Tamandua tetradactyla: one gene and its partners. The protein of the gene in region 2 interacts with the protein of the main gene of each other region in a pairwise test. Links are inferred from orthologs where the notes say so. Each region holds a gene or a part of one and is shown on either strand. Other genes may lie near its edges.

Region 1 (3,744 bases), on a different chromosome or scaffold from region 2:
ATATATGGTGCCACAAGGGAGGTACCCCTCAGATTGCCCCACCCTGGCCAGCACAAGTACATTTTTATGAAAAATTGGTGCCTTCTCACTCCCTGGCCCTGTTCAGCAAATAATGTGGAGATGGGAAAATACACTACACTGGGCTTTAGGGAGCCCTAACTTAGTCTCATCTGTGCCAAGAACTGGCTGTGTGTCTCTGGGTAAGTCCCTCCCCACTCTGGGTTCCCCTTTCCTTGTATGGAATAGGGGATGGGAATAACTAACTGGTGTTCTAGACCTAGCCTGTTACTCTCTAGGGGCACTTACAGCTCTCCAGCTGCATCATGCAGGTCTGAATGTCCATGGGAAAGTTCTTGAGATCCATTGGGCAGGACAAAATGAGGGTCAGCCTTATGGGGACAGAAAGAAAGAACTGACATCAGTTTACTGGGGGCCAGTACAGAACAGGGGACCGTCCTCCCACCTCTCAGCCTCTGACTGGCCTCTCCCCCTTGGCCCAAACTCTCTTGTCTGACCATCAGTTGCACCTGATGCTGTAGAGCACATTCCCGTTCTTAAAGATGCGTAGTAACTTGTTGTCTGTGGTCACCTCATGGAAGCTGGCCCCTTTCTCGTTGGCAAAGAACAGATCAGGCTTCCAGATGGATTCCAGCATGGAGGGATCAAGGTCCAGTGAGTCATCAGGATACTCTTGGTAGGTCAGGCGTGGGTCATTCCACTGTTGCCTCAAGAAAACATTCATCTGGTAGTCCTGGGAAGATGCAGAGATGGATACATCAGAGGCAATGCTATTCCCAGGGGCCTAGCAAGTCTACATGGGCAGGAGAACCATGAAGAGGAAATGTTGGGAACATGTCTCAGAGGCATGTCCAGTGGACAGTGTCCACTGGAGAAAGGGCCTGCCTTGGGCTGACATGGCAATGATAGAAAGGAAAAAGATATTTATTGAGCACTTGCTATATGCCAGGCCCTCTGCTAAGTGCGTTCTACATATGCATCATCTCATTTAACTCATACTAAACCTGTAAGGACAACTCTGCAATGATCTCCATCTTACAGATAAGAAAATTAAGACAAAGGGAGATTTAAGTAACCTGCCTAAGGTTGCACAGCTATTATATAATAGTGTAAGGATTGAACCCAGGTTTGTCTGGTTCCAAAGCCTGTGCTCCTTACCAAGCTAGCTCACACAGTTCACCCATTTGCTGCTTAGTTTTCTCTCTCTTTAGCCATGGAAACCTGGGGCTGGGGAAAGGTGTCCTCCTAGTGACCAACTTTAGGCATCCTATGTTTTTAGCCATGTCCACAAAACAGGGAAAGGATAGCAGAGAGGGGAAATGTTTGCTATCTGATAGGCTTCTCCCATTCACCCTAGAGTGCATGCCCTTACCATGGTGGTCTCGGTGACGGATCCAAAACTGTTGATGAAGATGTTGCAGGTCACGTTCACAGGTGGGCCTAAGGGCAGCAAAGCACAGCCCATTGGCAGAGCATTCCAGGAGCAGGTTTCAGGAATCCCGCACAGAGCTTCAGGGCTGGACACTGCTGGCAGAAGCAGTGTCAGCTACATGGGCCCATGGGCAATGGTGAGCGGAGGCATCTTCTAAGCTGGAAGAGCTAGCCTTGTACCTCCAGCCTCCTTTCCTTGGGGCACGGAGTAAGGGATGGTTGGATATTGTATCTCCAAAAGGATAGGGGAAGATGATCTTTTTCTGGGATGACTTTTCCTTACCTTTAAAATTGGGCCGAATCCTGGCATCATAACCAGATGTTCTCCCCATGAGCTTGTCCAGGAAATCAGAGGGGGACATGGGCTGGGGAACATCCTTTGTCCCAGATTTGACTTCCTCTTTTGCTAAGGTGATCCTGGACAGGAGAGGTAAAGAAGTCTGAGGCCAGATGCATTCTGCATCTATCATAGCTCCCTCAACCTCCAATCCCACCATCTCCCCATCAGACAGGAGGATAGGAAAGGATGGGTCTCTGGATGCCCATTTGCAAAATTAGGAGAACGAAAATGGTCAGCTAACACAGTCGCTCACCAGTTAGGCCTAGGAATGTGTTGTCATATATATTACGTCTTGTTACTCTCACAGTTCGCAGTGTGATGGGGGTGATGATTAGTATCTCCACTTACAGATGAGAAAAGTGAGGCCTTAAGAGAAAGAGTGACTTGTCCAATGTCTCGAAGCTAGTGAGTGATGGCGTCAGGACTCAAACCCAGGGCTGAGGCCTCATCTAGTGTTCTCTTTCTGAAAGTGCCATGAAAGCACTCAAAGAAGAGTGGTGACTCATTGGAAATAACATAGCTGCAGCAACATTTCATGCATCTGACCTAGCCAAGGATGGGAAGGGTTGAAGACAATCTACATCTTTAAGAGTTGGTTTCAGTTGTTTGGGCATCATGCTGGGATGTACAGGATCTAGGACCAGCTTCTAGGGAAAGAGGCTTGGTTTCTGGCATTTGTTTCAGCAGGAGGCTAGATTTTGTGCTGAATCTTAGTTCAGGGCTGTGGCAACTATGAGCAAGTGAATATGTTTTGACAATGAAATAGGTGGGGAAGCAGGGCCCAGCAGGGTGGCCATGCTGTAAAGATCAACTCCCACCATTTTGCCCCCTAACAACTTGATTTGAGGAAGGGGCTAGTGTGCTTTGGCCTAACCTAAAAGCCAGCCCCCTTCTTCCCTAACAAGCATATTCCATCTTAGAGCAGCAAAGCCCCTTCCACATGCCTACTTATCCGCTTTCCAGCCAACGCATGGACTAGGGACCATCAGCTCAGCAAAGCCTTGGGAGCAGAGGGCAGGGCTCAGTCTGGACTCCTGGCTGGGCCATGTGCCTCCAGCTCCATCCTGCCATCGTCACTGCAACAGGCACCCCAGCCAGCCCTGCTACTCCCACTGCTACTACTGCTGCTGCTACTGGTGCTCTGTGGAGCTAGGAGGCAGGGTGACTGCTGTCCTGGGTCGTAGTCATCTCTGAGTCAGTGGGCTCCTCTTTCCCAGTAAATCTATGCATTAGCCATTGATAATAAAAAAGTATATCTAAGGTACCATGCTAAATGCCTCATGTACCTTATTTTGTTTAGTTCTCCCATCAGTCCTCTCAGGTAAGTATTATTATTATCTCCATTCCATCTATATGAGTAAGCCAAGGATTAGTGAGATGAGACCTGTTCAGGATCATACAGCAGTAAGTGACAAGGCTAGGATATGAAACCAGGGCTATTTGACTTAGAAACAAAGGCTATCTACCCCAATACCATGATGCCAGCAGCCCAGGGTGAGCTAACATGGAACCAGAGTGGGGGAAGGTCAGTGACAACCACTCCCTGGACTCCTAGAGTCCTGCTTCCTTGAATTGGCTGAGCAGGAAGAAGCCCTTAACCTAGGAACAGAGGCCATCTTGCCCCCACACAGGGGAGCAGGCCCAGGCTGCCTGAGCAGGTGGCTTAAGCAGCCTCTGAAAATCCAAGGAGACTGGTAGTGGTGCTGGGGCAAGCAGAAGTCCGTGACTTTACTGCAGGATGTCCACACTGGCCAGGTGCTGTTGTTTCTGCTGCTACTGCTGACCACCTGCCATCTGCCCACTGGGAGGCCACATGGCCCTGCACGTGAAGCAGCTGGACACTCTCCTCTGACTTTATCCCCATACTCAGGTCACCTTTTCTGCTAGCCTCAGGACCCTGAGACAGGCTGTGGGTTCAGCTGTTTTGGTTCTCAACCCCTACTACAGTGCCTTTC
Region 2 (3,744 bases):
GTCTCCCAGGAGCAGCCTGTGCAGGAGGGCTGGGGGTGCAGCCACATGACAGCCTGGGGGGTCGGAACGCCGCCCTCCGAGCTGTGTCACCTGGGTCATGAGACTGGGGAGCCACGTGCCTGCATGCCGCGCCAGGCTAGCGAACAGCCACTGCTTGGCCTCAGGGTGAGCCCTTCTCCCACCTTGGCACCGAGCGCATTTCTGGGGACAGTCACGGCTTAACTGCAGTGACATCTCTACCTCTTAAAGACTCTTTGGTTCTGGAGCTAATTAAAAGCTCTAAGCAGGGAGGACACACTTAATCCCATTAATGACTCCTGGACAGGAAATGGTGTGCCCAGCCCTCGGAGGGACAGCCTTCCAGAACCACCTCCATTTGTTCAGGTGCCTGTTGATTGTTTATCAGCCCTTTTAAGAGATTAAGCTGCACACAGGAGCGGGCCATTTTGGCAGTGGCTCTGGGCAGGGGTTCGGGTGACCTGGAGGGTGCAGTCAGCATCTCAGCCCTGAGACGCCAACTCCCTGCTCTTCCAAAGCATTAAGGGGCCTTGGTTCATGAGAAGGGGGTCTTTGCCCCCATCTGCACTCTGCAGCCAGCCCTCTCCTCCGCGGGGAAGTGGGTGCAGCACCCACTAAGCAGGACCTCCCTGTCCAGTCCACGCTTGTCGGTCATGGCACATGTGCAATGACAGAACCACCTCAGACTCTGTGGAGGTGAGACAGATGTCCTGACGGGGTAACTGCTCCCGCCTGGGGTCAGAGAGGGCTTCCTGGAAAAGGAGACAACTGAGCTGAGAAACAAAAGATGAGAGTTAAGACGCTGAAGCCCTCCCCACTGGGACAGCTGTCCAGGGACCTTGAAGAGGAATTCCCTGACTTTGAGTATGCTTCCGGCTTTAGCTTTCTGGAAAAATGGAAATTGCTCTCTCATCAGCCTATGGAAGAGTGGTTGGCAGGGCCACAATAAAACGCTGGGGCCCCAGGAACACTGCTATCAGGTCCCGGAAGCTTCCCCGCGAGCCCGCACCTTGGGCGTCCAGGGGAGAGATCGGCTGGCGGACTAGGCTGCGGCTGTCTCTTTAAAAGAGGAGGCATGGGCCCCCAAACCACGCCCCTTCATTAATATTAAACTATGATGAATATTGATGTTGGGGGCGTGGCGCCCCGGCCAGCTGGGCTACTCAGCCGGGGGTTCCCGGTTTCACCCAGGAAAGTGACAGAAGCCGCTCGGAGGGGGACACAGAGCGACACAGAGCGCGCGCGAACGTCCGGCGGCCGCCCAGTCTCGGGGGGAGCGCTCAGCTCCCCCACCCCCGGCTCCCACCCTGTCCGGGGGGCCCCTCCAGCCCGCGTCCCCAGCCCTGAGCTCCCCATGGAAGCCAGCCGTGGCCCGGGAGGGGCAGGAGGAGTCGGCTAAATGCCCGCCGTGCGCCCCGGGCGCCTGAGCCCAGCCCGCCCCGCGCCGCTGCCCTGAGGCCCCGCGCCCGCCACCCCGGGCCGCGCCGCCCCCGCCCGCCGCGGACCTGCCCCCCGCCCGCTCGCCAGGGCTCAGGCCGGAGCTCGGGGCTGGGCGCGTCGCCGCCCTGGAGTGAGGCGAGCCCCGCGGACGGGGTCCCCGAGCCGGCCGCGATGGACGCGGTCCTGGAGCCCTTCCCGGCCGACAGGCTGTTCCCCGGATCCAGCTTCCTGGACTTGGGGGACCTGAACGAGTCGGATTTCCTCAACAATGCGGTAAGGCCAGGGGCCGCGGCCGCCTCCCTGCGCCCCTCTCCGCCGCGCGCCTGGGCCCCTCGGGGACACGCGCCCGCTCACCGCCCGGCGGGCGCTGGGGAGGGGGCTGGGAGCAGGGCCTCCCGGGGGGACACGTGCTCGGAGCGCCGAGAATTCGGGACCAAGTCCCTCGACGCCTCCCCAGACCCCGCGCCCGGACGGGAGCCTGTGGGGTCGCCCCGGTGCGCGCCCCTCCGGGGTCTCGGGCGTGGAGGCGCCGGCCCCGTTCTCGAGGGCAGGCGCACGTCGAGGCGTCACGGCTGCCCGATGCTGGGACGGAGTTCCGGAGACACCAACCCTCCCGCCCCCTCTCCCAGGCGTTCCTCACCCTCCCCGGGCTTCCCGGACGAGACGGGGCGCCGCGGCAGCGCGCTTCCCTGCGCCCCTCTGGGGCCTCGCAGCCCAGCGCACGGTTCCCCGCTGGGGGGCGCACAGGGGAGCGCGCGGCGCGGACACCGGTCCCGGCCGGCCCCGAGCGCCCAGCAGCCGTGCCGCCGCGGGGGGCAAGCCCGATGAGGTCCCCCCTGACTTGGCTGGCCAGGGCAGCTCGGGGTGACGTTCCGGGGGGCAGCCCGCCCTCCCCATCTCCGCGACTCTAGGTGACTGCCCTGTCCCTCGGCCCCTCGACCCCTTGCTGACCTTCTCCCCCTGTGTCTTCTGACCATCGCTGTGTCTGGGCTCGCCCTCCTCTCTCCTCTCTCTCCCGCCCCCTCCCTCTCTAAGGAAACGTGGCCTCTCTCCCTTCTTCCTTCCTTCCCTCCCTCTCAGGCTGGGCCCCGAGGCCCCGATGGGGGAGGGGCATGGGCTCAGTGTCCGGAGAAAATATGTGGGTTCCCCTGGGGCTAGGGGCACGAAGTGTGGGCTGCTTGGGGAATCCAGTGGGAGCCCCACCTCGTGTGGTCCTCCGGGGCCTCCACCTCCTCAGACTGAGAAACTTGGCCAGACAGGAGCCCAGTTCGTAGAGGCGTAAAGAGTTCAGAGAGGCCAGGCCTGGGCATCCCCGCCTTCCTCCTGAACTGTCCCAGGCCACTAGAGCGATGGTGGGGAAACTGAGCCAAGGGCCAGGGACCTGGCTCAGGGGCATGGGGTGTGAGGTCTCCTCATTCTCCATTAGGCAGCACCCAGCGCTCACTGCCCTCTGGAGTGAGAGTGGAGGAGGGGAGAGACCTGGCGGGGCTTCCAGCTCTGGCTCGGCCGCTGCCTGCCCGTGAGCTTGGGCCACACCATTCACCCTCCTCTCTGGGGCTCAGTTTCTTTGTCTGTAAAATGGGGCAAAGGGTCCATCAAGTCTTTCCACAGATGGTTCCAGTACTAAGCTGGACACATTCCCTACAGCTCTGAGTAACAAAGTGGCTGGGATATAGGGGTCCAAGCACCCACCCTGGGGATGGTAAAAGGTGCTGGTGAGAAGGAGGGGGTTGCTGGAACTTGCACCTGGCAGCCAGGGGAGTTCCCTAAGGGCTTCCCCCAGCCCTTGGCAGCTCTGCACTGGGCTTTTTTCTGAATGAACTCTGTAGCCTGCAGCCTCTTCCTGCTGCTCCATTCAGCCCTGTGTCCCCAGCTGCTCCTGGTCCAGCGTAGGAGAGGAGGCGCAATTAGACAGCGGTGTCAGCGCTGGGGTGCTGGGGAGGGAAAGCCCTGCCCGAAAGGCTCCTGTGCCTCCAGGCAGGCAGCGGGACAGACAGAGTGGTGGCCTCAGGAGATGCTGGTTCTAGCTGTGCTTCTGCCACTAGGGGCCAATGCCACCCATATCTTCCTCATCTGAAAAGTGGGGATATTAGAACCTTTCCATCGCATGTGGTACAGATTTAGTGGGACAAAAACAATTGCCATAAAGACTTAGCATGATGCCTGGCATCATGAGTCCACAGTCATCAACTGGTTCCAGAGACTGGATGGGGGTGGGAGTGAGGGACAGACCCAGGAGTAGCCAAGAGACCCTGAGTAAGTCACTTGCCTTCTTTAAGGCCTCCA
Region 3 (3,744 bases), about 100 Mb from region 2:
GAGCGTCCCTGCAGGGCTGGGAGCGGTATTCTGCTTTACAGGGGGTTCCGGGGGGGGTTGATTCCGGGGTCTGAGAGCTGCACCTTCCTCCCCTCACCTTGCAACACCCTCAGTCTCGCCCTCCAGGGAGACACAGTGGAGGACGCTCCCCAGACCCTCCCTGGCCACGACAGGACCGCACTCTTGAAGGAGTGTCCCAGTCTCCAGAGGACTGATGATAATAAAGGAAAGAAGGCACCAGGAGGTGCCAGTCAGGTAGTGTGCAGTCAGAAGTCCTCAGCCACGGGGGGCCATGTGACCTCTGAGCCTCAGTTTCCCCATTTTGCACTGTCCTGATGGGATGTTCCTTCAAGGTCCCCTTGGGCTCTGAGAAATCTGGGGTTCATAGATCCTGGACGGTGTCTCCTCGCAGTCCGGTCTCCAGCCATTAACACCTAATAGGTACCCAAGAGAATTCACTGAAAGATGGAATGCAATGAGCCCTGCTTCCCCTTGGAGGCCAGGAAGGAAATTCTTCCCTCAGGCTTCCACCACCTGACTGCCAGCAAAGCCACAAGTCTTGGAAAACCCCTGGCGCCCAGGACCCCTCTGTAAGACTGCTTCAACCAGCAGGAAGCAAGAAAATGTGCCAGGGCAGACAGGGTTGGTGTGAACCCCAGATGGGGCAGGTCGCCCTGCTTCCTCTTCCTTAACTCACGCGCCTTCTCTTCTTCCCCCTTTCTGACTTCTCCCCTCTTCTCCACTTCCCTTTTTCCCTTTGTCTCGCTGTGCTGTCCTCCTTTCTGGGGACTGGGAGCCTCCTGATGGCCCCCCAGCCTGCCTTACCCTCTAAGAGCAGGAAGACTCAGGCTAGGTGCAAGCTCCTAGAACACAAGTCTCAGCTTTCTCGGGGACCTGCAGTGGAGGCGGGATTCGGGTCCACCCAGCCTCTCTGGAGGCCAGCACCCAGCAGAGGGGCTCCTCTTCAGAGGGAAGCTGGCAGTGCCTTTTCCTCTACCTCCCTCCCCAGGGCTCCAGGGAGAGGATGGGGTTTTCCCCTGGGCATCCAGAGCCTCCACGACTCTGACCCACCCCCACACTGGGCTCCCCGGCGCCCCCTTCCTCACCACAGCCCTCGCCTTCAGACGGAGAAAGTGGGGAGTGAGTATGTGTTGAGGAGGCAGTGTTACGTGTCATTGTTGAGGTGTGTGTGTGTGAGAGCAGGCACAACGGCGTGCCACGGGGGCGTGTGCGTGGATGGGTCTGTGTGTGGTGGGCGTGTGGTGTGATGTGTGTGTGCGCTGTGTTCGTGAGGGTGTTTAAGGAGTGCGTGTGACAAGCAGGGCACACAGTGTGTGTGTGAGAGGATGTGTTTGTGCATGGGTGGTGTGGTATGTTTGCATATGTGGAAGAGTATGCTTAGAGTTTGTGTGAGTGTGGGTGGGTGTGTGGCAGGGGGCTGGGAGCTGGGTGTCCTGGGTCTCCCACCCAGTGAAGCCAGGGAAAACCAGTATCTAGGCAACCATATTGGGGGGAGGGGAGAGAGACAGAGGTGAGGAATGGGCAGGAAAAGGAGGGAGGCTGAGAAATGGGGCGCAGTTTCCATGGCAACTACCAGGCGGGTCACGTGCAAAAGGCTAAGTTGCGGAAGCACAACCACAGCCACAGTCGCAGCCACAGCCACAATGTGAGGGCGGCTGGCCCACCGGAGTGGGGGCCCTTTCACAGCAGGCAGGGGCTGCCCACGGACCCAGCTGCAAGCCTGGAAATCCAGGCCCAGCCCGAGAGCACGAAGCCAAGGAGACAAAGGAAGTGGACTCAGAGGCCACACTGTGTGTGAGGGGGAGGGCATCCAGCTGCTACAGCCCCCCATTCCCACCGCACCCCACCCCCACAGAAACTGGGTTGACCCGTTTCTCAGGGCGGGGGCTGCCCCTCACGTCCACCCTCGGGGGCTTTGTCCACCAGCCACCACTTGTAAGAGCCGGAAGAAAGCTCCCAAGACAGGCTGCTCACCCAACTCTCCATGGAAGCCCAGAAACACGGGGCGGGGGCCCAGAAACACGGGGCGGGGGCGGCAGCGGCAGGGCAAGCCCGAGGGGGGCAAAGTGAGGGAGAGGAGGGGATGGTGGGCCAGGCCCCTGGAAGGAAAACACGCTTGGAGAGAGGAGAAGGAAAGGAAAATCGAGGCAGACATTCTCCTCCATCCTTAGGCCCTGGAAGCCCACTCACCTCCCTGCTGCCCAGCGCCCCACCCCCAGCACCAAGCCACCAAATTCCATTCTGTATTGCTCACGTGAGTGTGAACAGTCAGTCACACTCCCTTATTCTCAGATCCTCACACGCCCCACGCCAAGTCTCTAGGCTTCAAAATAACAAAGGAAAACTCCCTCAGGATAAAAACCTGGGTGGGAGCAGCCCTTTCCCTTTCTAAAAACCATTGCCCCAAGCCCCAGGTAACCACAAGAGCTTTTCCCTGCCACCAGCTCCACCCCCGCGGCCCCACGGGGGCCCCTGCTCTCCCATACCCATCCCTTGCTTGCACCCCCAGACCCCTTTCAGGCTGCCCGGGAGAACGAGGGGCCATCCGCCCAGGAGCACCGCACACGCCACAGGAACAAACAAAACCCGCTGTTCCCCCGATCCCGAGGATCCGCTGACGCCTGAGCCTCCTTCCTTCAAAGAACTCAACTTTGCCCATCTCCCCAGCACCTTACCTGCACAGAACGGCCCCCACCAAGGCACTCCCGGGAGGACCTGCCGAGTCCGGAGGAGGCTGGGAGTGGCGGGCTGGCAGCAGGGCGGTGGGAGAGGCTTTTGCTTTTTTCCCGCCTCCCCTCCTCCTAAGAGTTGGGGCGGGCAGGAGAGGCGCGTCCAGCTGGAGAGGGGAGTGGCCGGCGGACGCTCCCTCTCCCTCCACGCCACGGGGCTGGGGCCAGATGCCTGGGTGTCAGCTGTCTGATGGCTTCTGGGTAGCAACAGCGTGCAGACCCCCTCCCGTCCCCTCCGCTCCCCTCCCTATTTCTCCCCTCCTCTCTCCTCCTCTTTCCACCCTTTCCCTCCCTCTCCGCTCCTCTCCAGCTTCCAGGCTCGGTAACTTCCCCTCCTCTGGTGCAAAGGAGTGAGCTTCTCAAAGGACGGTCAAGCTCAGAGACGCAACAGGAGGCTGCTTCCAAGAGGGCACGCGAGTGCCAGCGCTGATTTGCTATAAGCCGTTGTTTTTTGGTTTTCCCCTGGTGAGGGTGGGCAGGGAGCAGTGAGACAGATGCAGTGACAGAGCTAGTGTCTCTCTGAAGTAGTAAACTGAGGGGAATAGAAAAATAAAAGGAAATAACCCAGCAGCAGACACAGCAACCCACGTTAATTGTGAGCCTTGGCAATTAAGGGGAAAATGAACTAAAAGCATGAATGGCTGTGTCGTAGGCGCCAGAGCCAGCTCTGGTTGTAGTTGTCATTTTCAGCGAGAGCCAGATAGGGTGCTTGCTGGGGAGCAGGGACCTCGCCCTGACCACAGACCTGCCGCCCAGGACCTCCTCTTCAAGCCCCCCACCCTGGCCCTGCCAGGCCACAGCACTGGAGATGGAGGTTACACTCCTCCCCAGCCTGGAACTGAAGATTGAGGATGACAAATATTTAAATCCCAGCTCTGCAACTCCATTGGTACCTGTGTTGGCACCTCGACTAGTCACTGACCTCACCTCCCGAGCCTCAGTTTCCTCATGTGAAAATGACAATCATAATACTGGCCTCATGAGTGGCTTAGCT

Evidence for each region.
Region 1: the proteins of CREB3L1 (region 2) and PLP1 interact in binary tests that used the Homo sapiens proteins (3 or more experiments, as listed by UniProt). The two-hybrid records come from large-scale screens. The link is inferred for Tamandua tetradactyla from reciprocal best matches to the Homo sapiens genes CREB3L1 and PLP1.
Region 3: the proteins of CREB3L1 (region 2) and FXYD6 interact in binary tests that used the Homo sapiens proteins (3 or more experiments, as listed by UniProt). The two-hybrid records come from large-scale screens. The link is inferred for Tamandua tetradactyla from reciprocal best matches to the Homo sapiens genes CREB3L1 and FXYD6.

Annotation. Positions count from the first base shown.
Region 1 is NC_135353.1:70,063,118-70,066,861, forward strand, and holds the start of PLP1 (myelin proteolipid protein), read left to right. Parts: upstream 1-1,283; 5' UTR 1,284-1,391; coding exon 1,392-1,452; intron 1,453-3,744.
Region 2 is NC_135334.1:122,993,342-122,997,085, forward strand, and holds the start of CREB3L1 (cyclic AMP-responsive element-binding protein 3-like protein 1), read left to right. Parts: upstream 1-1,542; 5' UTR 1,543-1,629; coding exon 1,630-1,731; intron 1,732-3,744.
Region 3 is NC_135334.1:22,810,897-22,814,640, reverse strand, and holds the start of FXYD6 (FXYD domain-containing ion transport regulator 6), read right to left. Parts: upstream 2,923-3,744; 5' UTR 2,697-2,922; intron 1-2,696. UniProt on the Homo sapiens protein: Associates with and regulates the activity of the sodium/potassium-transporting ATPase (NKA) which catalyzes the hydrolysis of ATP coupled with the exchange of Na(+) and K(+) ions across the plasma membrane.